Arabidopsis thaliana: one gene and its partners. The protein of the gene in region 1 purifies or fractionates together with the protein of each later gene. This does not show direct contact. Each region holds a gene or a part of one and is shown in the gene's direction. Other genes may lie near its edges. The genes, in order: PAB3, CSY2, CSY1 and CSY3.

Region 1 (5,951 bases):
TTTAATATCTCTATTTATAGTAGAAGAAAAATAACTAGCTACACAAAATATCGGAGAATGCATGATCACACATGTCAAGCATATTAGTGTATCCCTAGCTATACGAAGTAGATGTATTGTATGACCACATATCTGAACTATACGACGTCATGTAGTTAACACCACAGACATGCAATTCCGGTACACTAATAAATTTACTCCGTTGAAGACCAGTGTTGACCGGCATAGTTGAGGATACTATAGTATAATTGGCATGGGTAAATTAACTAAAAATCATCAATCCATTTATCATAATCCAAATTCTGGTCAAAAGAATCTAAAAATAGTTTCATAAAAATAGTTTCATGTTTCTGTTTACAGTAATAAAATTGATATCTTAGTCATGACCAAATCAATAGCCGCAAGTTATGCTCCCAAAAATTAGCTGTTCATCTTTTACTCCAATCAAAAACATAAAAAAAAAAAAACAATTACAATTTCTATTCTAAGTAAATGTTAAATAAATTTATTAAATTTTACCTCCTAAGACTTCAGTGGTTACACTATTAGAAAATAATTAGATTTGTGTGCCTAAAAGCCTTAGAAGCATGCATTTTTTATGAATAAATAAATTTAGTATTGATTTCGGTATAGAAAATGAAATTAGCAAATTCTTGATATGTGTAACTAAAATAAAATCTTATGTAAAAAACAGAAGCGATAAAGGCAAACATAATTCAAAACTGCGACCAATTCTTATTATCAAAGATTTATGAAACACCAATTAGCTATTAATAGTAAAAATCAAGTGACACTTTCCCTATACTAAATTGTTAATTGTTCGGATTTATAGGCTTAGCTAGTTAAGTATAAATATTAATCCACACTCTTCACACTAATTCAATTTTATCCCTAATAAAAAACTTGAATCTATATATGTGTATCAATATATGTGTATGATATTTAAAGGGGTTTGTAGTCTATTGAAATAAATAAAAGATTCCATTATCCATGATTTTTAATAAGTTACTTCGTAGCATTACTAAACCTATTTACATCATCAACAATACAACTGATTTAATTTCAACTAACTAAAAAATTACCAATTTATTTATCATAAATTCATAATCTAATATCTGGTCAAAAGAATCTAAAAATAGTTTCATGTGTCTATTTATAGTAATAAGATTGATATCTTAGTAATGACCAAATCAATAGCCGCAAATTTTGCTCTGAAAAATTAGTTGTTCGTCTTTACTCTAATCAAAAACATAAATAAAAAATCACAATTTTTATCCAAAGTAAATGTTAAATCAATTTATTAAATTTTAGCTCTTAAGACCTCATTAGTTATATTATTAGAAATTAATTAGATTTGTGTGCTTATAAGCCTTAGAAGCATGCATTTTTTTATGAATAAATAAATTTAATGTTGCTTTCGATATAGAAAACAAAATTAGCACATGCTCGATAAGTGTAACTAAAATAAAACCTCATGTAATAAAAAAAGAAATAAAGGCAAACATAATTTAAAACTGCGACCAATTCTTATTATCAAAGATTCATGAAATATTCAATTAGCTATTAATAGTAAAATCAAGTGACATTTTATTTATACTAAATTGTTAATTGCTCGGTTTTATAGGCTTAGCTAGTTATGTATAAATATGCATCCACACTCATCACACTAATTCAATTTTATCCCTCTTTACTCTTCTTGATAATCGGAGGAAACTAAAAAAGGAAAAAAAAAAATCTAAATAAGAATAAAATTCCTAAAAAATAAATAAATCAAAAATTGTGAAGAAACAAATCCTCGAGTCATGTTGTTTACAGAAAATCTCTTTCTCACTTAAAACCCTTACAGAAACAAATCATCGAATCTTTGTTTTTTTAGAATCAGTGATTTTGTTTCCTTTCACGAGACGAAAATAACAAATCGTCTTGTAAAAAGTAAACTCATAATCATGGCGGCGGCGGTTGCCACAGGTGTTGCACCGGCGACAATGGTTGATCAAGTTCCCAGTCCGACGGCGCAGACTTCGGTTCAGGTTCCGGTTTCAATACCTCTTCCATCCCCGGTCGTGGTAGCCGATCAAACCCACCCGAACTCGTCGCTCTATGCCGGTGATCTGGACCCGAAAGTTACTGAAGCACATCTATTTGATTTGTTCAAACATGTTGCTAATGTCGTCTCGGTAAGAGTTTGCCGCGATCAGAATCGTCGATCTTTGGGATATGCCTACATCAATTTCAGTAACCCTAACGATGGTAAATACAATTCTATATCGCTTCAATTGCAAGTTAGGGTTCATGTCTTGCAAAACAAAATATATATATTATCATGAATTGCATTACAATAAGAAAAAGTGTTTTGATTTGATTTTTTTCAATCTCAATTTTTTATTAGACATGGTAATTAATTTTGATCAGTATCATGTTCCTGTGCGAATCATCTTTTTTTTTGTCTAGAAATTAACATATAATCAATATTCTATATTGTAGTTCATCTCTACTATACCATGATTCTGCTACATTGATATGTTTCGTTTGAATATCAAAGCTACAACATTTATTTTAGTAGTTGATGCATCAGTCTCTTATATTATGATTTTTCTTAATTAGTTCAATTTAATACGTGAAATTTGTTTGAAATTGTTCTTTCAATCTCATTAATTGTAGAAACTATAGGTATTTGTGCATTTATAAATATCATAGATGCTGGTTTTCTATAATGAATTGAGATCTTATTTGCCTATGTTTATATGTTGATTTATGTTTGCAGCTTACCGTGCAATGGAGGCCTTGAACTACACTCCCCTCTTTGATAGGCCCATTCGGATCATGCTTTCGAACCGTGACCCAAGCACGCGATTGAGCGGCAAAGGAAACATTTTCATCAAAAACCTTGACGCTTCAATCGACAACAAGGCCTTGTTCGAGACGTTTTCAAGTTTTGGAACCATCCTCTCATGCAAAGTTGCAATGGACGTGACTGGCCGGTCCAAGGGGTATGGATTTGTCCAGTTCGAGAAGGAGGAATCGGCTCAAGCCGCAATTGACAAGCTAAACGGAATGTTAATGAACGACAAGCAAGTTTTTGTGGGACACTTCATCAGACGTCAAGAGCGTGCTCGTGATGAAAACACCCCTACACCGCGTTTCACTAACGTGTACGTCAAGAATCTCCCCAAGGAGATTGGTGAGGACGAGCTACGAAAAACGTTTGGTAAATTTGGAGTGATATCGAGCGCAGTTGTAATGAGGGACCAGAGCGGAAACTCGAGGTGTTTCGGGTTTGTGAATTTTGAGTGCACTGAAGCAGCGGCTTCGGCGGTTGAGAAGATGAATGGAATTAGCTTAGGGGATGATGTGTTGTACGTTGGGAGGGCGCAAAAGAAGTCTGAGAGAGAGGAAGAGCTAAGAAGGAAGTTTGAGCAAGAGAGGATAAACCGGTTTGAGAAATCTCAAGGAGCGAACCTGTATTTGAAGAATCTTGATGATAGTGTTGATGATGAGAAACTCAAGGAGATGTTCTCTGAGTATGGAAATGTGACATCCTCCAAGGTAATAATTAATTAAAAACTCATACATATATTCATAAATATATATGTTGTTGATGTTACGTTGTCTTTGACACAATCCTTTAACTAATGTAGGTTATGCTTAATCCACAAGGAATGAGCAGAGGATTTGGTTTTGTTGCTTATTCCAATCCTGAAGAAGCTTTAAGAGCCGTGAGTTACTAAAACTATAATATATTCTTCTTTTATTGTTCGTCTCTTTTGATATCTGAGAGATTGTTACATATGAGACAATGCAGCTGAGTGAAATGAATGGGAAGATGATCGGAAGAAAACCTCTATACATAGCTCTTGCGCAGCGCAAAGAAGATAGACGAGCACACTTACAGGTTTTTTAAAAACTCTTTTAACATATTTAAAAGAAATGGGTTTGTTAAAGCTATATGTGTGACTAAGTACATAAGTTTGCAATTTTTTCAGGCGTTGTTTTCACAGATTAGAGCACCAGGGCCAATGTCAGGGTTCCATCACCCGCCAGGTGGACCAATGCCCGGTCCACCTCAACACATGTACGTAGGCCAAAACGGAGCAAGTATGGTCCCGTCCCAGCCCATTGGATATGGATTCCAGCCTCAGTTCATGCCCGGGATGCGTCCAGGTTCTGGCCCGGGCAACTTCATCGTGCCTTATCCGCTTCAAAGACAACCTCAGACCGGTCCTCGTATGGGATTCAGGCGTGGTGCTACTAACGTGCAACAACACATCCAACAACAACAAGTATGTTACTAAACTGAGTCTGTTTATAGTTTTCAACAATCATGAAACTGAGTTGGATTGAATATTGACAGCTTATGCACCGTAACCCGTCCCCGGGAATGAGATATATGAACGGTGCGAGTAACGGGAGGAACGGAATGGATTCGAGTGTTCCTCAAGGAATCTTACCTCCTATCATTCCTTTGCCAATAGATGCTTCTTCGATCTCTCACCAGAAAGCTCCTCTCCTTCCAATCTCTAAGCTCACTTCTTCCTTAGCTTCTGCTAGTCCAGCTGATCGCACTCGGGTTTGCCTCTTTTCCTTCCATCTCAGCTAAACATTTCTTTGTTTTGCGTTTTCTTTTGCATTTGGTGTATAACTTTTGAATAATAAACCCTTAACTCTAAACATATGTTTTCAATTGTTGATGCAAAACCAAACGCAAAGAGAGGTCAGTCACATTTGCATTTTATCTTACAAAATATTTCCTGAATAACTGAAAAATGTTTTGGTGAATTTTGTTTCTTAACATCAAATGTTTGAAAGAATTATGGTCTTATAACAAATAAATAAAAGTTAAAGTCACATAAATATATAGTTGATAGAGATTGGCATATCTATATATTTATATGTTTACTGATTTTTATTTTTAAAAAATTGGTTGGGAACAGATGCTTGGAGAACAACTGTACCCACTTGTGGAAAGGCACGAACCACTTCACGTGGCTAAAGTCACAGGAATGTTGTTGGAGATGGATCAAGCTGAGATCTTGCACCTGATGGAGTCACCAGAGGCACTCAAGTCTAAAGTATCCGAGGCTTTGGATGTTCTCAGGCTATCTGTTGATCCAACTGATCATGATCTTGGTTTCTCTACCACCGACTGAAATTTGCAATGCGTTTGCTCAACTCTGTTTTCTTCTTTTAGTTTTGATATCGACTCCTTTTCTTTTCTTTTTTGGGTTTTAGTCTTCCTTTACTATTTTAGCAGTTTTTTTTTGTTTACTTAGTTTATGGTTTTTGTGTCTTTAACTTAGTTTATGGTGTTTTTCTTTTTCTTTGGACAATGATGATTTCTTAATAATCTGAGTAGACTTCTTCTTCCGAATCCCCAAATAATCCATCTCTACTTGAAATTTAAGTTGTTCGGTATTCATGGTCAGCAACAAGGGACAATCCTTCTATTATGGTAGCAGCCTTCTATTATGAATTTATTCGAATGTGTCTACTCATAATTTGTGGTTTGTATTTCAACTTGTAGTTGATATCAATTATATGCACACAGACTTTTTCTTTTTGAGGGGTTGGAAGCAAGCGATTCAATGATTGTACCACTCATTTCATAATAGTGTTTGATATGACGTTAATTTGAATGGTTTATGTTGATCGAAAATACTCTCAGTCACAACAAGAATCTAATTCGATTAATTTATTTGAAAAACATATGTTGGCATGGTACATGAACCAGCTCGTTCATATGAAAATATTTTAAAAAGTCAACATCAGTGCTAATTTCAAATTGACCATACATTAGCACACAAGAAGACTAACAAAAAAAATGAGTGAATAAAGAAGAGAGTGAGTGGGGTTGATACATGTCACCGTCCAAAATGTGTCTGACCCTTCTCATTGGAGCTACAAGAGCCGACCCTTTGCCTCATCATTTGTTGACTTCACTCTCCTTTTACATA
Region 2 (6,044 bases), on another chromosome or scaffold:
TTGAAGCAGTGCAAGTTCGTCCCTAAATGCATTCCTGGATACCAGAAGGATATGAAAACCTTTAGAGCATGATTAATACAATAATACAAAGAAATCAATGGATGTAGACTCACACTTTGTCTTCATCAGTGAACATTTCCTCTCCAAAGGTTTTAACAGCCACGTCAATTCCACGCCATGAAGCCTTGTTAAAGGTACCCTGTAAAGCAGACAGACAGTAATTACAACTGTGAACAGCAAATAAAAGCAAGTGAAAACAGCAACAAATAAATTTGGGCAAGGGAACTACTTACCTTTGAAATTTTGACAGAGTTGGAAAAATCAAGCTCTGTAGGATGAATCTCGTACTCTGGAACTTCTTTATCAGTTAGGACATGCATAGGAGCAATCTAAAATCAGAAACGATTATTAAAGAAATCAATCCAAACATTCAGAAACTAAAACATCCATCAATGCAACTATGAGGGATAAACACATACCGTAGGCTTAGCACCATGTTTCTCCAAAAGTTTAATCACATCATGATTTTTGTAATACACTGCATCTGCAAGAGGCTGGTAAGATCAATCACAAATTGTTAACCATCACTGTTATTGCAACCGAGTTTGCTAAATCTAAGTGCTCCAGTAAAACATATGATTTGTGCGGCAATTCGTCGAACACAAAACGAACTAAAGAGTCTACGAGAAGTCAAGTCAGGCAAAGCAAACAAAATTCAGCCCAGAGAAAGTTCGAATTCATACCGTACTACCCCATCGGTCCTTCGTATCAACCTTAGCACCACGGCTAAGCAGCAGCTCAACGACATCGGTTCGTCCTTGACAAGCGGCGACGTGAAGAGCAGTACGGGCATCGATGTCACGGTAATCAACATTAGTACCCGAATCAAGCATCTTATTGATGCCATCGATATCACCTTCGTTGGCTAAATACATTAAACGAATCGTCGGATCCCCGATCCCAGCTGTAGCCGCCGCAGCCAAGTCGTCGTCCTCATCTTCCGTTAACGTATCAATCGGGGTTCTTGATTCCGGCGCAAGCGAAGACTGCCTACCTAGCTTGAATCTCGCCGGCGATTTAGGCTTAATCGTCATGTTCAACAGAGGACTTGGTGAGAATTTTCTGCCGCAAGCAATATGAGCTGTAAATGGAACTGTAACGGCAGCAACAGAAAAGAAAAAGAAAAGTAGAAAAAAAAGTCCCAACCAATCAGCAGGCTTTAAGGGTTTGCCTCTTAATGCGGGTGAAGTATCATACTCGTTTTCCTCCTCCCTACTCATCATAATCTACAGTACTTCATTTTTTTTTGTAATTACTACTCCTTTTTTTATTAAAAGGCTAATTGCATTTTTTTCTCTCTTTTTTGTTGGACATAACTTTCTCCTTTTTTGAACAATTTAACTGAACAAACAAATAAATTTGATTAGTGCAAAAGCAAAGGATGGTACAAAAGTGTGAGTGGAGGTTTCATAATTGAATCACTTTTTAAATTTCAAAGATATTTTGAAAATAATTTGGGATAGTCAGTTAAATACTAAAAATTATAAAACTGCATTTAATTTGCAAACATAACATATGTGTTGTGAGAACTGAGAAGTGACCTTGGTTTAGTAGCAGCGTTCACAAGTCCATCAAAAACTGAATGGGGTTTTAAGTTCCTTCTCATACATAAGAGTTAATTGGGTTTAATGGACCGGCCCGTTGTGACCCAATGCAGTGTATTACCAGCCTCTTACTGGTGAATCTTTGTGCTACAAATATAAAATTTCCATATGTTCATAAATTTTAACTGCAAAGATATTGGACCATTTCCCTTGTTCTTATTACTATTGTCATCAGCCCAGGCGTAAAGAGCTAATGGGCCGATCAATACACTTAGGGAAATTAAATTTCTCAATGTGAGACCAATGAGTTGGCCCATTATCGAAAACCAGATAGTTATTTAGCAATCCGAGGACGCCAATCGACTTCTACTCGATCTACATAGCGTCTGAAAGACACTCGCTCGTGTTCTTCCACCTGTCATTCTCATTGAGCGCGTAGTCTTCACTGCCCTTGCCCGGGTGGATTTCAGAAACGAAAGTCTTAATCCTTTGATAAACTTGACAGATAAGCCTCTTTAGACTTTCCATATTAGTTTTTGACGAACAATTCTATCCGTTGATCTAAGCTGAATAATCTTATCACCGTCGAGCTTTGGATAAACAATGGATCCGATTTTCAATACACTTACCCGCAGAGAATAAAAATATCAGCTACTACCAAAATTAGCAAATGCAGGATACAAAAGCCAAGTCACTTACCGCAAGATTGTTTCTTCTTCTTCTTCTTCGCTTCCTTCCTTTGAAATTGAATTCAGATATTTTTTTTAAAATTTTTTGAGAGGAAGAAATGGAGATTTCGCAGAGAGTGAAAGCTAGATTAGCCGTTCTCACCGCGCATTTGGCGGTGTCTGATACCGTCGGATTGGAACAGGTGTTGCCGGCGATCGCGCCATGGTGTACATCGGCTCACATTACCGCTGCACCTCATGGATCACTCAAAGGAAACTTGACGATCGTCGATGAGCGTACGGGGAAGAAATATCAGGTCCCTGTCTCAGAGCATGGTACCGTTAAAGCCGTTGATCTCAAGAAGGTATGTAACGGATTTGTAATCCTGAACAGAATTGTGGAATCGAGTTAGTTTTATCTGAATTTTGATTCGTCTCACCTAATTTTCCCTGAATATGATAAGGAATTTGATGGATTTGCATGTTTGGTGTGCAGATAACGACGGGGAAGGATGATAAGGGGCTGAAGTTGTACGATCCTGGTTACTTGAACACGGCTCCGGTTCGATCTTCGATTTGTTACATCGACGGAGATGAAGGAATCTTACGTTATCGGGGATACCCAATTGAAGAGTTGGCTGAGAGCAGTACTTTTATTGAGGTTGCTTATCTCCTCAGTAAGTCTTTATCAATCTCGTTGCTTATTCTTGTTGTTGTTGTTGCTTATTTTACTTTTGTGGCGTCTACTTGTGGAAAAGAAAATGTCTTGAAAATTGTGTCTCTCTTAGTGTCGTGTTAAAATTCCCCTTTTTTTGTCTCCAGTGTATGGAAATCTGCCTTCTCAAAGTCAGCTAGCTGATTGGGAGTTCACTGTTTCTCAGCATTCAGCTGTGCCACAAGGAGTATTGGTGAAATTTCTACTCTTTCGTTATTTGGATTTTCATACTAGTGCAAATTCCAAACTTTGTATCAGAATGCAAATCCAAACCAAAGAGGGATTTTGAAAATGATTTCTTGTCAAGTGTACAAGTTGTTTGTCTTGCTTGTAAACCATGTCTATTAAGGATACTGGATCTCTTTCTAGTATTAGTACCTTATGTCTTACTCGCCGTTGTGAATATAGTTATGTGTATATGCTTAGTAAAAGAATTTTCTATGGATTTTTGATCTGAGACGATTTCTGAATGTTTTTGCAGGATATCATACAGTCCATGCCTCATGATGCACACCCAATGGGAGTTCTTGTGAGTGCCATGAGTGCACTTTCTATCTTTCACCCTGATGCAAATCCTGCTCTTAGTGTAAGTTTTGAAATCCTGTTCTTTTCGTACTGTCAAGATGCCTTTTTCTGAAAATGGCTATGCCAACTCGATTTTCTTTCATTGGGTGCAGGGCCAAGACATTTACAAGTCAAAACAAGTTCGTGATAAACAGATTGTTCGCATTCTCGGAAAGGTATTGTTCTATCTGTTGATGATTTGTTTCCTTAACGTATCTGTGTATAAGTTGCGGGACTAGAAAAAGGGTTTACAACGTGTTTGCAGGCACCAACAATTGCAGCAGCTGCTTATTTGAGGACGGCAGGCAGGCCTCCTGTTCTTCCTTCGGCCAACCTTTCTTATTCAGAGAATTTCCTCTATATGCTGGATTCAATGTACTTTCCCCTCTTTCTTCTGTCTTTATTTGATTTAACACTTGCATTTTAAAAGGGTAGTCAGAAAAACTGTGTTTCTTTAGTCAGTTTAAATCTGTTTCAAGCTTCAAACGTGTCTGTAACACAGGATACATTCTTTAATCTTCAATTGATTACAGGGGCAATAGGTCTTACAAGCCTAATCCTCGTTTGGCTCGAGTGCTGGACATCCTCTTCATACTGCATGCTGAACATGAAATGAACTGCTCTACTGCTGCTGCTCGGCATCTTGCCTCTAGGTACTTATCAGTTATCACTGATTAGAGATATTCATTTAGACTTCTTTGAGTGTTTAAATCAGTATTGTGTTTCTGCAGTGGTGTTGATGTGTACACCGCATGTGCTGGAGCTGTTGGGGCGCTTTATGGTCCACTTCATGGTGGCGCGAACGAGGCCGTGCTTAAGATGTTAGCAGAGATTGGGACTGCTGAAAATATTCCAGATTTCATTGAAGGCGTGAAGAACAGGTAACTCAATGCTTAATAACTACAAGCACCAAGTACTCTGAATTGTGGTGAGTCATGCCGGTAATGTTATATCCCTTTTCTATGTTCTCAGAAAGAGGAAGATGTCAGGTTTTGGACATCGTGTTTACAAAAACTATGACCCCCGAGCAAAAGTTATAAAAAAACTGGCAGATGAAGTGTTCTCCATTGTTGGTAGGGATCCTCTCATCGAGGTACTGTAGATCCTTGTGCTCACGTATCTCTCCTAGTATTTGGTTGTCAAAAAAATTCTTATATAACATGACTGTGGGTTAAATTTTGTTTTGACGGATGATGTTTTCAGGTAGCAGTTGCTCTAGAGAAGGCGGCACTGTCTGATGAATATTTTGTTAAGAGAAAGCTGTACCCAAATGTTGATTTCTACTCTGGATTAATCTATAGGTAAGACATTGCTGATTCATCTGACATAGACCCTGTAACCATTAAGTTCTTTACCTGAACCTTGTGTTGGTAATTGAAATGGGGGAAAAACACAGGGCAATGGGATTCCCACCAGAATTCTTCACAGTCCTGTTCGCAGTCCCGCGTATGGCTGGATACTTGTCACACTGGCGTGAGTCGTTAGATGATCCTGACACTAGGATCATGAGACCCCAACAGGTAAAATACATAACTTGTTTGATAGATCAAAAGGTTTATAGTTTGAGCTAACTGAATTGTGTGGCTGCATATAGGCCTATACTGGAGTGTGGATGAGGCATTACGAGCCAGTGAGAGAACGAACGTTATCAAGTGATTCGGATAAGGATAAGTTTGGTCAAGTTTCCATTTCGAATGCATCAAGAAGGCGTTTAGCTGGATCATCTGCCCTTTAGTCTCAATCCTAATACTCACCAATAAAGAAGAAAACATTGGGATACCTCTGGGAAAACAAGAGAGTCTTCTCAACAACATGTGTTGTTTTCTTTCTCTTATTCTTAAACACTTAATAATACAACCCTATTCTTATTGTTTGTCTGTTATTTTAAAATGTTATGATTTAATAATAATAATCTTGTTATAGGGAACGACATGTACTTTTGATAAATTGCGCTTTTATTCCTGTTAATGTTAATTTCTGAAGACATGTCTAACACATTGGTTTGGAAAATGTCAACCACCAAATCATATCATTTAGGATTAACTGAATGTTATTTTTAGGGTGAATATGTTATGCAGATTCCAAGTGATAACAATAAGCTAACCACTCATTGAACATCATATCATATTTTTTTGTACGGTATTTATAATTTGCCTGAAAGTTTCCTATCATTTTGCATTATTGCCAATAATATTTCCATTTCAAATGAGAACAATTGTGAGAAGTGTGAACAAATATAAAAGAAAAGTGACGTTAAATAACAAACCCTGGAGTACCTGACACTGATTAACAGAAAGAAGTAAGAAGCAACCAAAACAATACATAACTGTCGCAGAGACACATACTTAAAATTGGTTAAAAGCCACAAAACTCTGATTGAAGACAAAGAAGACACTGTAGATTCACGCCAATCATACCCACAAAAGTATTAAGACAAAAGTGTTACGTAATGAAATTATCAAATTTCCCCACTATAAAACCATGCATGCCTAT
Region 3 (5,169 bases), on another chromosome or scaffold:
TACAAGCACCAAGTACTCTGAATTGTGGTGAGTCATGCCGGTAATGTTATATCCCTTTTCTATGTTCTCAGAAAGAGGAAGATGTCAGGTTTTGGACATCGTGTTTACAAAAACTATGACCCCCGAGCAAAAGTTATAAAAAAACTGGCAGATGAAGTGTTCTCCATTGTTGGTAGGGATCCTCTCATCGAGGTACTGTAGATCCTTGTGCTCACGTATCTCTCCTAGTATTTGGTTGTCAAAAAAATTCTTATATAACATGACTGTGGGTTAAATTTTGTTTTGACGGATGATGTTTTCAGGTAGCAGTTGCTCTAGAGAAGGCGGCACTGTCTGATGAATATTTTGTTAAGAGAAAGCTGTACCCAAATGTTGATTTCTACTCTGGATTAATCTATAGGTAAGACATTGCTGATTCATCTGACATAGACCCTGTAACCATTAAGTTCTTTACCTGAACCTTGTGTTGGTAATTGAAATGGGGGAAAAACACAGGGCAATGGGATTCCCACCAGAATTCTTCACAGTCCTGTTCGCAGTCCCGCGTATGGCTGGATACTTGTCACACTGGCGTGAGTCGTTAGATGATCCTGACACTAGGATCATGAGACCCCAACAGGTAAAATACATAACTTGTTTGATAGATCAAAAGGTTTATAGTTTGAGCTAACTGAATTGTGTGGCTGCATATAGGCCTATACTGGAGTGTGGATGAGGCATTACGAGCCAGTGAGAGAACGAACGTTATCAAGTGATTCGGATAAGGATAAGTTTGGTCAAGTTTCCATTTCGAATGCATCAAGAAGGCGTTTAGCTGGATCATCTGCCCTTTAGTCTCAATCCTAATACTCACCAATAAAGAAGAAAACATTGGGATACCTCTGGGAAAACAAGAGAGTCTTCTCAACAACATGTGTTGTTTTCTTTCTCTTATTCTTAAACACTTAATAATACAACCCTATTCTTATTGTTTGTCTGTTATTTTAAAATGTTATGATTTAATAATAATAATCTTGTTATAGGGAACGACATGTACTTTTGATAAATTGCGCTTTTATTCCTGTTAATGTTAATTTCTGAAGACATGTCTAACACATTGGTTTGGAAAATGTCAACCACCAAATCATATCATTTAGGATTAACTGAATGTTATTTTTAGGGTGAATATGTTATGCAGATTCCAAGTGATAACAATAAGCTAACCACTCATTGAACATCATATCATATTTTTTTGTACGGTATTTATAATTTGCCTGAAAGTTTCCTATCATTTTGCATTATTGCCAATAATATTTCCATTTCAAATGAGAACAATTGTGAGAAGTGTGAACAAATATAAAAGAAAAGTGACGTTAAATAACAAACCCTGGAGTACCTGACACTGATTAACAGAAAGAAGTAAGAAGCAACCAAAACAATACATAACTGTCGCAGAGACACATACTTAAAATTGGTTAAAAGCCACAAAACTCTGATTGAAGACAAAGAAGACACTGTAGATTCACGCCAATCATACCCACAAAAGTATTAAGACAAAAGTGTTACGTAATGAAATTATCAAATTTCCCCACTATAAAACCATGCATGCCTATATATCACTTTGAACTACAACAGCCACTTGGTTTCTTATTCGCTTCCCTTTCTTGAATTGTGATCTTTTTGAGGTGACAAATGGAGATTTCGGAGAGAGCTAGAGCTCGATTAGCCGTTCTCAATGCGCACTTGACAGTATCTGAGCCGAATCAGGTGTTGCCAGCGATCGAACCATGGTGCACATCGGCTCACATAACCGCTGCACCGCATGGATCGCTTAAAGGAAATTTGAAGATCGTCGATGAGCGTACGGGGAATGAATATCAGGTCCCAGTCTCAGAGCATGGTACCGTTAAAACCGTTGATCTCAAGAAGGTATATATAATGAGTTTTTATGCTGAAGTTATTTCTTCATTGTGGCCATTAGTACTACGAATAGATTGTTTTTTGTATATTGTGTGAGTGTGTATAAATGGATTTTCATGTTTGGTGTGAAGATAACGACAGGGAAGGATGACAAGGGGCTTAACTTATACGATCCTGGTTACTTAAACACGGCTCCTGTTCGATCTTCGATTTCTTACATCGATGGAGATGAGGGAATCCTACGTTATCGGGGATACCCAGTTGAGGAGTTGGCTGAGAAAAGTACTTATACAGAGGTTACTTATCTCCTAAGTAAGTCTTGATCATCTTGTATAGCTCATTGTTGTTGCTTAATTATGATCATCTTGATCATCTTGTATAGCTCATAGTCTTGCTTTTGTGTGGGTATTTCTTTAAAATTTTGTCTCCCTTAGTGCTCTAGTTTACTACTGCTTTTTTTGTTTTTGCATGCAGTTTATGGGAATCTGCCTTCTCAAAGACAGCTAGCTGATTGGGAGTTTGCGATTTCTCAGAATTCAGCTGTGCCACAAGGAGTATTGGTGAGTTTCTTCTACTCTTTCCTAACTTTCTCTAGATCTTCGAGGTGAGATGATTTATCTGAATGTTTTCACAGGATATGATACAGTCCATGCCTAATGATGTACATCCAGTAGGAGCTCTTGTCACTGCAATGAGTGCACTTTCCATCTTTTATCCTGATGCAAATCCGTCTCTTATGGTAAGTTACGTTTTTATAATCCTGCTTTCTTCTGAAAATTTCCACGCCGACATGGAAATCCCCATTTGGTGCAGGGCCTAGGTGTTTACAAGTCAAAACAAGTTCGTGATAAACAGATTGTTCGTGTTCTTGGACAGGTATTGTTCTGTCTGTGTGATTTGGTGCCTCAATGTATAACCGGACTATGAATTATAATATAACGTGTCTGCAGGCCCCAACAATTGCAGCAGCTGCTTATTTGAGGAAGGCAGGCAAGCCTCCTGTTCAACCTTTGAGCAACCTTTCTTATTCAGAGAATTTCCTCTATATGGTGGAATCAATGTACGTTATTGTCCCTCTTTGTTTGATTTGGAGATGGTAGCCATAAAACTGTGCACTTGTTTAGTCTCATCTTCCATTGATTACAGGGGAGATAGGTCTTACAAGCCTAATCCTCGTTTGGCTCGAGTGCTGGACATCCTCTTCATACTGCAAGCTGAACATGAAATGAACTGCTCTACTGCTGCTGCTAGGCACCTTTCCTCTAGGTACTACTTATCATTGGTTAGAGATTCATTTGAGTCTGCTATGAGATACTTTTTAATCAGCACATAAATCCTCTGTTTATGTAGTGGTGGTGATGTGTATACTGCTGTTTCGGGAGGTGTTGGAGCCATTTATGGTCCCCTTCATGGTGGTGCAGTTGAGGCTACGATTAACATGTTATCAGAGATTGGGACTGTTGAAAATATTCCAGAGTTCATTGAAAGCGTGAAGAATAAGTAACTCAATTCTTAGAGAGTATACCTAGAATGTGATGGTCAATATTCCATTAATGTTAACTCTTTTTATTCCAGGAAGAGGAGGTTGTCGGGTTTTGGACACCGCATTTACAAAAACTACGATCCCAGAGGAAAAGTCGTTAAGAAACTGGCGGATGAAGTGTTCTCCATTCTTGGAAGGGATCCTCTGGTTGAGGTACTCTGTATTCTTGTTGCTCACGTTTCCTTGTTGAATCCTTCATATGTATGATGAATTTGGTTTAAGAAAATATTTGGTGTATAAATAATGTTTTCAGGTAGGAGATGCTCTAGAGAAGGCGGCACTTTCTGATGAATATTTTGTTAAGAGAAAGCTGTACCCAAATGTTGATTTCTACTCTGGATTAATCAATAGGTAAGACATTGATTAGTTATCTAACAAATTCTGACTAATGAGTTGTTGTAACCATTGAGTTCTTTCTTTATTTGAATCTTTTTTGTTGGTAACTGAAATGGGCCAAAACACAGGGCAATGGGAATCCCATCATCATTCACCGCAGTATCACGTATCGCTGGATACTTGTCACACTGGCGTGAGTCTTTAGATGATCCTGACACAAAGATCATGAGACCCCAACAGGTAAAATACACCTTTAATATATAAGTGACTTTGTTTAGATAACATTGGCTCATGGCTAATAAAGACACTTTTTGATAGATCAATGAGTAATTAAGTTTTCTTTTTTGCTCATGAGATTATACATTATGCATAGATACATACACTCTTGGATATATTAATGACTTGAACCTTCTTCTTTTTTTGGCTCATGAGTAATACAATTTTTAATGGATATATGCAGTTTTTGAATAGATCAAAAGTTTTTTTTGGCACAGGTCTATACTGGAGCGGGGATAAGGCATTACGAGACAGTGAGAGAAAGAACCAAGCTGTGATTCGGATTTGGATCAGTTGGGTCAAGTTTCCATTTCGAATGCATCAAGAAGGCGTTAGCTGGGTCAAGTCTCGTTCCTATACTACTAATATGAAATTTGACTCGGAAAGCCAAGCGAATATACAAATATATATAAAGAATATATATGCTTATATAAAATATAGTTTGGGTAAACCCCATCCGACCTCGAGTTAGTAATACATGTGTGTGTGTCTATGTATGTATAAGTTGTCAAAATAAAATAAAAATATTTGTGTATTATAGCATGTTTTTAAGAATATGATGTTGAACAATAATCATAAAGTGATAAAAACAGTTCAAATCTAAATTAAATATAACCGAAACAGTAAGAAGATAGTAGACAACAAATCAAGATGAGATTGGTAATTGAACATATATGCAGCAATAATGACGAAAACCAAAAGGGTCTTCTCAACAATGTGTGTTGTTTTCTTTCTCCTTATAGTTAAAACACTCAATAATCTACATACTATTGAATTTGTTTTTCATTTGTTTGTCTGTTATTTTAAAATTTATGATTTAAAACATATCTTAAGTATAGTGGTTCTATAATCAATTCCATCTAATAATTAAGTTGGTATAGGAAATTAAGACATAACTTTTGATAGATATTGTGCCTTTTGTGAGGAAAGTTCTAAAAGAAGATCTTCTTATTCTTCTTTAGTTAATATAACACATTGCTTTAGTTCTAAGATTTTTTATATATCACACATTGATTCGGAATAATTAGTTAACCACCAAATCATATCCTTTTAAAAAAATGTCATACAATATAGTGTTGAATGAGAGATTATTTTCTCCTCAACCATTTGGAAAC
Region 4 (5,296 bases), on another chromosome or scaffold:
GTTAAGCTAATTTATTTATCTTAATCAACTAACGTAATTTGTTTTTAAACTGCTATTTGCTAAATTCATTATGTAGGAGTAGCCGAGTAGGACCCTGAATGGTACGCTCAAAAGAGGTAGCAGCGTCATCGAACTTAACGTTAGGACACCCTATGATTGATCGTATCAAATGACCAAAATTAAAAAGATGATTGAGTAAACCAATTAATTTTGGTATATAAACAATCTTTTTATTATCGTACACATTTTTGGGATGTGATGTGACTAATGAAAGGTTTAAATATATTTAAACATGATAAACGCAGAAACCACCATATAGAGGAGAAACTAGAAAAATATAATTTGTCAGTCATGTGTCTAAATCCACACCTACTTTTTTCTCATGCTTTTTTTCTTCCTGCAAATATTGCATTTCCTTTGCCTCTCTCACACATTTCCTCTGTCACTTTCTTTTTTATATATTTTTATTTCGGAATTCCATTACCGTGAAAAAGCTTTGTTTACAACAGTAATTTTGTTTCAAATGCTTTCTTGTTGTCTATTTTTATCAATTACTATGCCTCTGCTTGAATAACTTAAAAACACAAGTGATGTTAATTGTGTTATTGTAGATCCTATGAACAAATTTAATTTATAGACGTGTGAAGTTATAAATGAAAGATATCATTGAGTGAGTGATCACCGTTGCAGATAATGTTTAAAGAAAAAAAAAAGGAACAGTTCCTTGTTCATGTCATCATGTGTTGAAAACGGAAGGAGGGAAAGAAAAATCTATCACTCTCAGATTCAGAGCCTCACGTGGGGTAAACTTAGAATTCTATTTTTAGGTACGAATCAAAATATACGACCCGTCGCTTTTAACATGTCATTTATTATACCTTTCACTCTCATTTCCTCCATGCTTTTTTTTTAAAACGTAATTAGACCTATTCATTCTCCATAATATAATACATAAATACAACTTATAAGATTAATAGCCTCGTACACTAACATTAAAGAGTAAATAACCGTTTGTATTTTCCATCTTTTGATTAATGATAACTATAATTTATGAAGAACATCCATAAACTCATGAGTTTTATTTTGAACGCAACATCCATATTTAGCTTTACATTCATTTTTTTAATAAGATTTCAGTCATAGTTCGAAAAATGAATGTTGGGTTGGTTCCGATGGTAAAGCGAGCCGTATCAACAAAAAAGGCCCAAATAAAAAGTGGTATACTGTTGGGCCTAAAGATGAATATACAGAAGCCCATATTAAGACAATTCGGCCCATTCAGCATTGCGTAGCAATCGAATTGATATTTAGCAAATCGAGGAAAGCAATTGACTAACTAGATAATACTGATAAGTGGGTCCCACATAATTCTGACAGCTTAGAGATGGAGAAGATCATCACCGTTAGTCCAAGTTGGGTCAATAAGGCTTACGCCGTTGGATATCAAGATATCCGTTAGATCGCATACACGTGGATACTGTTCAATACTCCTGACCGCAGGGGATAAGACACGTGTTATATTAACGAAGAGTAAGAATGGTTTCTAATAATTTCTTCGCTCCCTTTCTTCTTCTTCTCTCCTTCTTTGAATTTTGATTTTGGTTGAATGGAGATATCAGAGAGAGTTCGAGCTCGATTAGCTGTTCTCTCAGGTCATTTATCGGAAGGAAAACAGGATTCTCCAGCGATCGAGCGATGGTGCACGTCGGCGGATACGAGTGTCGCACCGCTTGGATCTTTGAAGGGAACACTGACGATCGTCGACGAACGCACCGGAAAAAATTATAAAGTTCCGGTCTCAGATGATGGTACCGTTAAAGCCGTTGATTTCAAAAAGGTTTAACCCTTTTTCTAAATGACCATTTTCCTATCACTGTGGGATTTTGAGCTGAGAATTTGCTTTGTTGCGTGTTGTTTGGCTTGCAGATAGTGACGGGGAAGGAAGACAAGGGGCTTAAGTTATACGATCCAGGTTACTTGAACACGGCTCCTGTTCGATCTTCGATTTCTTACATCGATGGAGATGAAGGGATCCTTCGTTACCGTGGCTACCCAATTGAGGAAATGGCTGAGAACAGTACTTTTCTGGAGGTGGCTTATCTTCTCAGTAAGTGTTTTACCTTTTAACCTTACTACACAATTTCAAGTGTTATGTGTATCGAATTGGACATTGATGAAAAGTTTTCTCCTTTACTATATTTTCTGGCAGTGTATGGGAATCTGCCCTCTGAAAGTCAGCTATCTGATTGGGAGTTTGCAGTTTCTCAGCATTCAGCTGTGCCACAAGGTGTATTAGTGAGTCTCTAATCCTTGGTTGATGGATTTCAATTTCGATTTGTAAAATGGAGTTAGCCTGTTCTTTACTAGTAGCCTATTTTCTTGTCTGGTCGAACAATAATTTGTCAAGACTGTTCTATACATGTTGTTCTGAGGATTGTGTGCTGTACTCAAAGCTATATATTTCTCATATCTAACTCCACTTACTTGATAACTTTTGTGCAGGATATTATACAGTCTATGCCTCATGATGCACACCCAATGGGAGTTCTTGTGAGTGCAATGAGTGCGCTTTCCATCTTTCATCCTGATGCTAATCCTGCTCTTAGGGTAGGTTTAACCTTATATTACTTCTCTAACAACATGTCAGGCCTTGTCACTCGCTAGTTTTAGCTCTTTTGAAATTGTCCGTATAAACATGTTGACTGATACTCTATTGGGTGCAGGGCCAGGATATTTACGATTCAAAACAAGTTAGAGATAAACAAATTATCCGCATTATTGGAAAGGTATTTTTTTGTTATCAGTGGTTACCTTACTTCTTCCTATATTGTGTCACGCATAAACATATTTGGACTCTGAATTTCATGAAGATCTGATGCAACTAAACGTGTTTGCGATTTGTGCAGGCACCAACAATTGCAGCAGCTGCTTATCTGAGGATGGCAGGAAGGCCTCCTGTTCTTCCTTCAGGAAACCTTCCTTATGCAGATAATTTCCTCTATATGCTTGATTCCCTGTATGTCTCTGCTATCTCTTTCTTCTTGAATTAGTTAGAAACTCAACTTTTAGATTTAGTTTTAGATCTTGACGCTTCAGAGAACTTGAAGCCTAGTTATTTTTTTACTGTGTACATAACTTGTAGCGTGCCATTAACACACTTCTTACAGGGGAAATAGATCCTACAAACCTAATCCTCGGCTGGCTCGGGTGTTGGACATCCTCTTCATACTGCATGCAGAGCATGAAATGAACTGCTCCACCGCTGCTGCTCGGCATCTTGCCTCTAGGTACTTATCTTTGGTTGGAATCTTAGTGACCTTGATAGGAGATATATTGATTAGGAAATGTCTTCTTGTAGCGGTGTTGATGTCTACACTGCTGTTGCTGGAGCTGTGGGAGCGCTTTATGGTCCACTTCATGGTGGTGCAAACGAGGTATGCTATTTATTCTCATGTCTTCATATGTTACATCTTCTGATGTATTTTCATGCTCCATGGTCTTTGAAATTCATGTCTTTGGTTCCATTAGGCTGTGCTTAAGATGTTGTCAGAGATTGGGACTGTTGAAAATATTCCAGAGTTCATTGAGGGTGTGAAGAACAGGTAAAATCAATTCTTGAAACTATATGCTTCCGTTTCCGAGGTTTGTGACAAGTCTTTTCATTAAAATTCTCATCCCTTTGACATCTTAGGAAGAGGAAGATGTCTGGTTTTGGACACCGTGTGTACAAAAACTATGACCCTCGAGCTAAAGTCATCAAGAACCTGGCTGATGAAGTATTTTCCATTGTTGGAAAGGATCCTCTAATTGAGGTACGCTATGTCCACGAAGTTCAAGCTTATACTACAACTTGATGCCCACCTTTTCGATTTAGTGTAATTTTTCATGTTTCCTTAAAGCCAATGTGTTTGATTCTGATGTCTGCAGGTTGCTGTTGCACTTGAGAAGGCAGCTCTCTCTGACGATTACTTTGTTAAGAGAAAGCTGTATCCAAATGTTGACTTCTACTCTGGATTAATATACAGGTAAAAGTTTGAATGCATGTGCAGTATCCATAACTTCCTCTCAACTTCATCTAAATCTGCAAACTTGGACCATTACAACAGGGCAATGGGATTTCCACCGGAGTTCTTCACGGTCTTATTCGCGATTCCTCGCATGGCTGGATACTTGTCACATTGGAAAGAGTCACTGGATGATCCTGACACCAAGATCATGAGACCACAACAGGTATAGTTAATCTCTTTCCAAGAATAATAAGAGAAAGATTTTTCTTTGGATCAATTTGAAACTTGGATGGTTCATTGGAATATTAAATGTTGCAGGTGTACACAGGCGTGTGGCTGAGGCATTACACACCAGTGAGAGAGAGAATAGTGACGGATGACTCGAAAGAGTCAGACAAATTGGGTCAAGTCGCGACTTCAAATGCATCAAGAAGACGTTTGGCTGGATCTTCAGTTTAGACGTAGGCCCTTTTAGGGTCCATACTATACATCAAACCACACCGCAAAGAATAAAAGAGATTGGTTTCTCTAGCCTAAAGCTAAGATACTTGATCATACTCGAAACTTAGATTTCTCATTTTGTAGGCACAATATAGACTTGATCTATATTTGCTTCAATCCATCTTCTAAGGGTGTTTGTCCGCCTTGTTTGTCTTCTTATCAGAACGTGTTTATTGTATAAAATGATTTATGGTTATGGATTATTACTCTAATTTCTATATCGAATGCTTCTGCAGAGACGTTTGTTGTGAAATATCTCGGCCAAAGCAACAAGTAGAAAACAAAGCACTTTATTAAATCATTGTAAAAACTTTTGAAGATCTATTGTTACAAACTAGGATATCATCAAGCCAGAGTTTCAAAACTCGGAGTTCTTGAAACTTGAAGTAGCCATGTAAATGATACACTCGAAGAAAAAATGATCTGTAAAAAAGCTATATAAGTTACATTACATGTTTTTGTCTGGTGGCTGCATTTTTTGAAGTTGAAGGAGCAGTCCCAGGAAGGCCGTTGATCCTCCTTGGAGGTAGCTTTTGTCCACCAGAAGGAACGCTTCTTGAAGTTGAAGGCGCATTAGCGGATAAGCCAGTCCTCTTTGGAGCAGATATACTATACAAGACATGATCCGTCAAACCGATCAAGTTTGGGGGATAAAGAAGTGGATCCATATAGATATATAGATACTGAGGACATGTTACCTGAAACTCTTCTGAATCGTGTTCTTTTTAGTTTCAGTAAGATTTCGTCCACCATAAGGAATGCTTCTTGAAGTTGAAGGCGAATTCGCA

The links.
Region 2: the proteins of PAB3 (region 1) and CSY2 fractionate together in Arabidopsis thaliana (co-fractionation; one large-scale study listed by BioGRID). This does not show direct contact.
Region 3: the proteins of PAB3 (region 1) and CSY1 fractionate together in Arabidopsis thaliana (co-fractionation; one large-scale study listed by BioGRID). This does not show direct contact.
Region 4: the proteins of PAB3 (region 1) and CSY3 fractionate together in Arabidopsis thaliana (co-fractionation; one large-scale study listed by BioGRID). This does not show direct contact.

Annotation. Positions count from the first base shown.
Region 1 is NC_003070.9:8,053,653-8,059,603, forward strand, and holds PAB3 (poly(A) binding protein 3), read left to right. Parts: upstream 1-1,672; 5' UTR 1,673-1,946; coding exon 1,947-2,250; intron 2,251-2,764; coding exon 2,765-3,546; intron 3,547-3,638; coding exon 3,639-3,716; intron 3,717-3,802; coding exon 3,803-3,892; intron 3,893-3,983; coding exon 3,984-4,280; intron 4,281-4,351; coding exon 4,352-4,567; intron 4,568-4,931; coding exon 4,932-5,147; 3' UTR 5,148-5,408; downstream 5,409-5,951. UniProt on the Arabidopsis thaliana protein: Binds the poly(A) tail of mRNA. Appears to be an important mediator of the multiple roles of the poly(A) tail in mRNA biogenesis, stability and translation. In the cytoplasm, affects both translation and mRNA decay.
Region 2 is NC_003074.8:21,723,806-21,729,849, reverse strand, and holds CSY2 (citrate synthase 2), read left to right. Parts: upstream 1-1,712; 5' UTR 1,713-2,391; coding exon 2,392-2,637; intron 2,638-2,768; coding exon 2,769-2,949; intron 2,950-3,094; coding exon 3,095-3,180; intron 3,181-3,468; coding exon 3,469-3,573; intron 3,574-3,664; coding exon 3,665-3,727; intron 3,728-3,816; coding exon 3,817-3,926; intron 3,927-4,084; coding exon 4,085-4,204; intron 4,205-4,282; coding exon 4,283-4,432; intron 4,433-4,523; coding exon 4,524-4,644; intron 4,645-4,754; coding exon 4,755-4,852; intron 4,853-4,947; coding exon 4,948-5,071; intron 5,072-5,145; coding exon 5,146-5,286; 3' UTR 5,287-5,544; downstream 5,545-6,044. Other genes in the region: AT3G58760 (Integrin-linked protein kinase family), read right to left, coding at 1-34, 114-199, 294-389, 480-554, 744-1,283. UniProt on the Arabidopsis thaliana protein: Peroxisomal citrate synthase required for the fatty acid respiration in seedlings, citrate being exported from peroxisomes into mitochondria during respiration of triacylglycerol (TAG).
Region 3 is NC_003074.8:21,720,229-21,725,397, reverse strand, and holds CSY1 (citrate synthase 1), read left to right. Parts: upstream 1-1,607; 5' UTR 1,608-1,671; coding exon 1,672-1,908; intron 1,909-2,030; coding exon 2,031-2,211; intron 2,212-2,373; coding exon 2,374-2,459; intron 2,460-2,533; coding exon 2,534-2,638; intron 2,639-2,712; coding exon 2,713-2,775; intron 2,776-2,849; coding exon 2,850-2,959; intron 2,960-3,045; coding exon 3,046-3,165; intron 3,166-3,249; coding exon 3,250-3,399; intron 3,400-3,474; coding exon 3,475-3,595; intron 3,596-3,695; coding exon 3,696-3,793; intron 3,794-3,906; coding exon 3,907-4,018; intron 4,019-4,272; coding exon 4,273-4,332; 3' UTR 4,333-4,625; downstream 4,626-5,169. Other genes in the region: CSY2 (citrate synthase 2), read left to right, coding at 72-192, 303-400, 496-619, 694-834.
Region 4 is NC_003071.7:17,802,302-17,807,597, reverse strand, and holds CSY3 (citrate synthase 3), read left to right. Parts: upstream 1-1,524; 5' UTR 1,525-1,606; coding exon 1,607-1,837; intron 1,838-1,926; coding exon 1,927-2,107; intron 2,108-2,209; coding exon 2,210-2,295; intron 2,296-2,502; coding exon 2,503-2,607; intron 2,608-2,723; coding exon 2,724-2,786; intron 2,787-2,906; coding exon 2,907-3,016; exon of another isoform or gene 3,017-3,167; coding exon 3,168-3,287; intron 3,288-3,358; coding exon 3,359-3,434; intron 3,435-3,528; coding exon 3,529-3,602; intron 3,603-3,691; coding exon 3,692-3,812; intron 3,813-3,927; coding exon 3,928-4,025; intron 4,026-4,106; coding exon 4,107-4,230; intron 4,231-4,325; coding exon 4,326-4,466; 3' UTR 4,467-4,757; downstream 4,758-5,296. Other genes in the region: AT2G42780 (transcription elongation factor B polypeptide), read right to left, coding at 4,952-5,117, 5,207-5,296. UniProt on the Arabidopsis thaliana protein: Peroxisomal citrate synthase required for the fatty acid respiration in seedlings, citrate being exported from peroxisomes into mitochondria during respiration of triacylglycerol (TAG).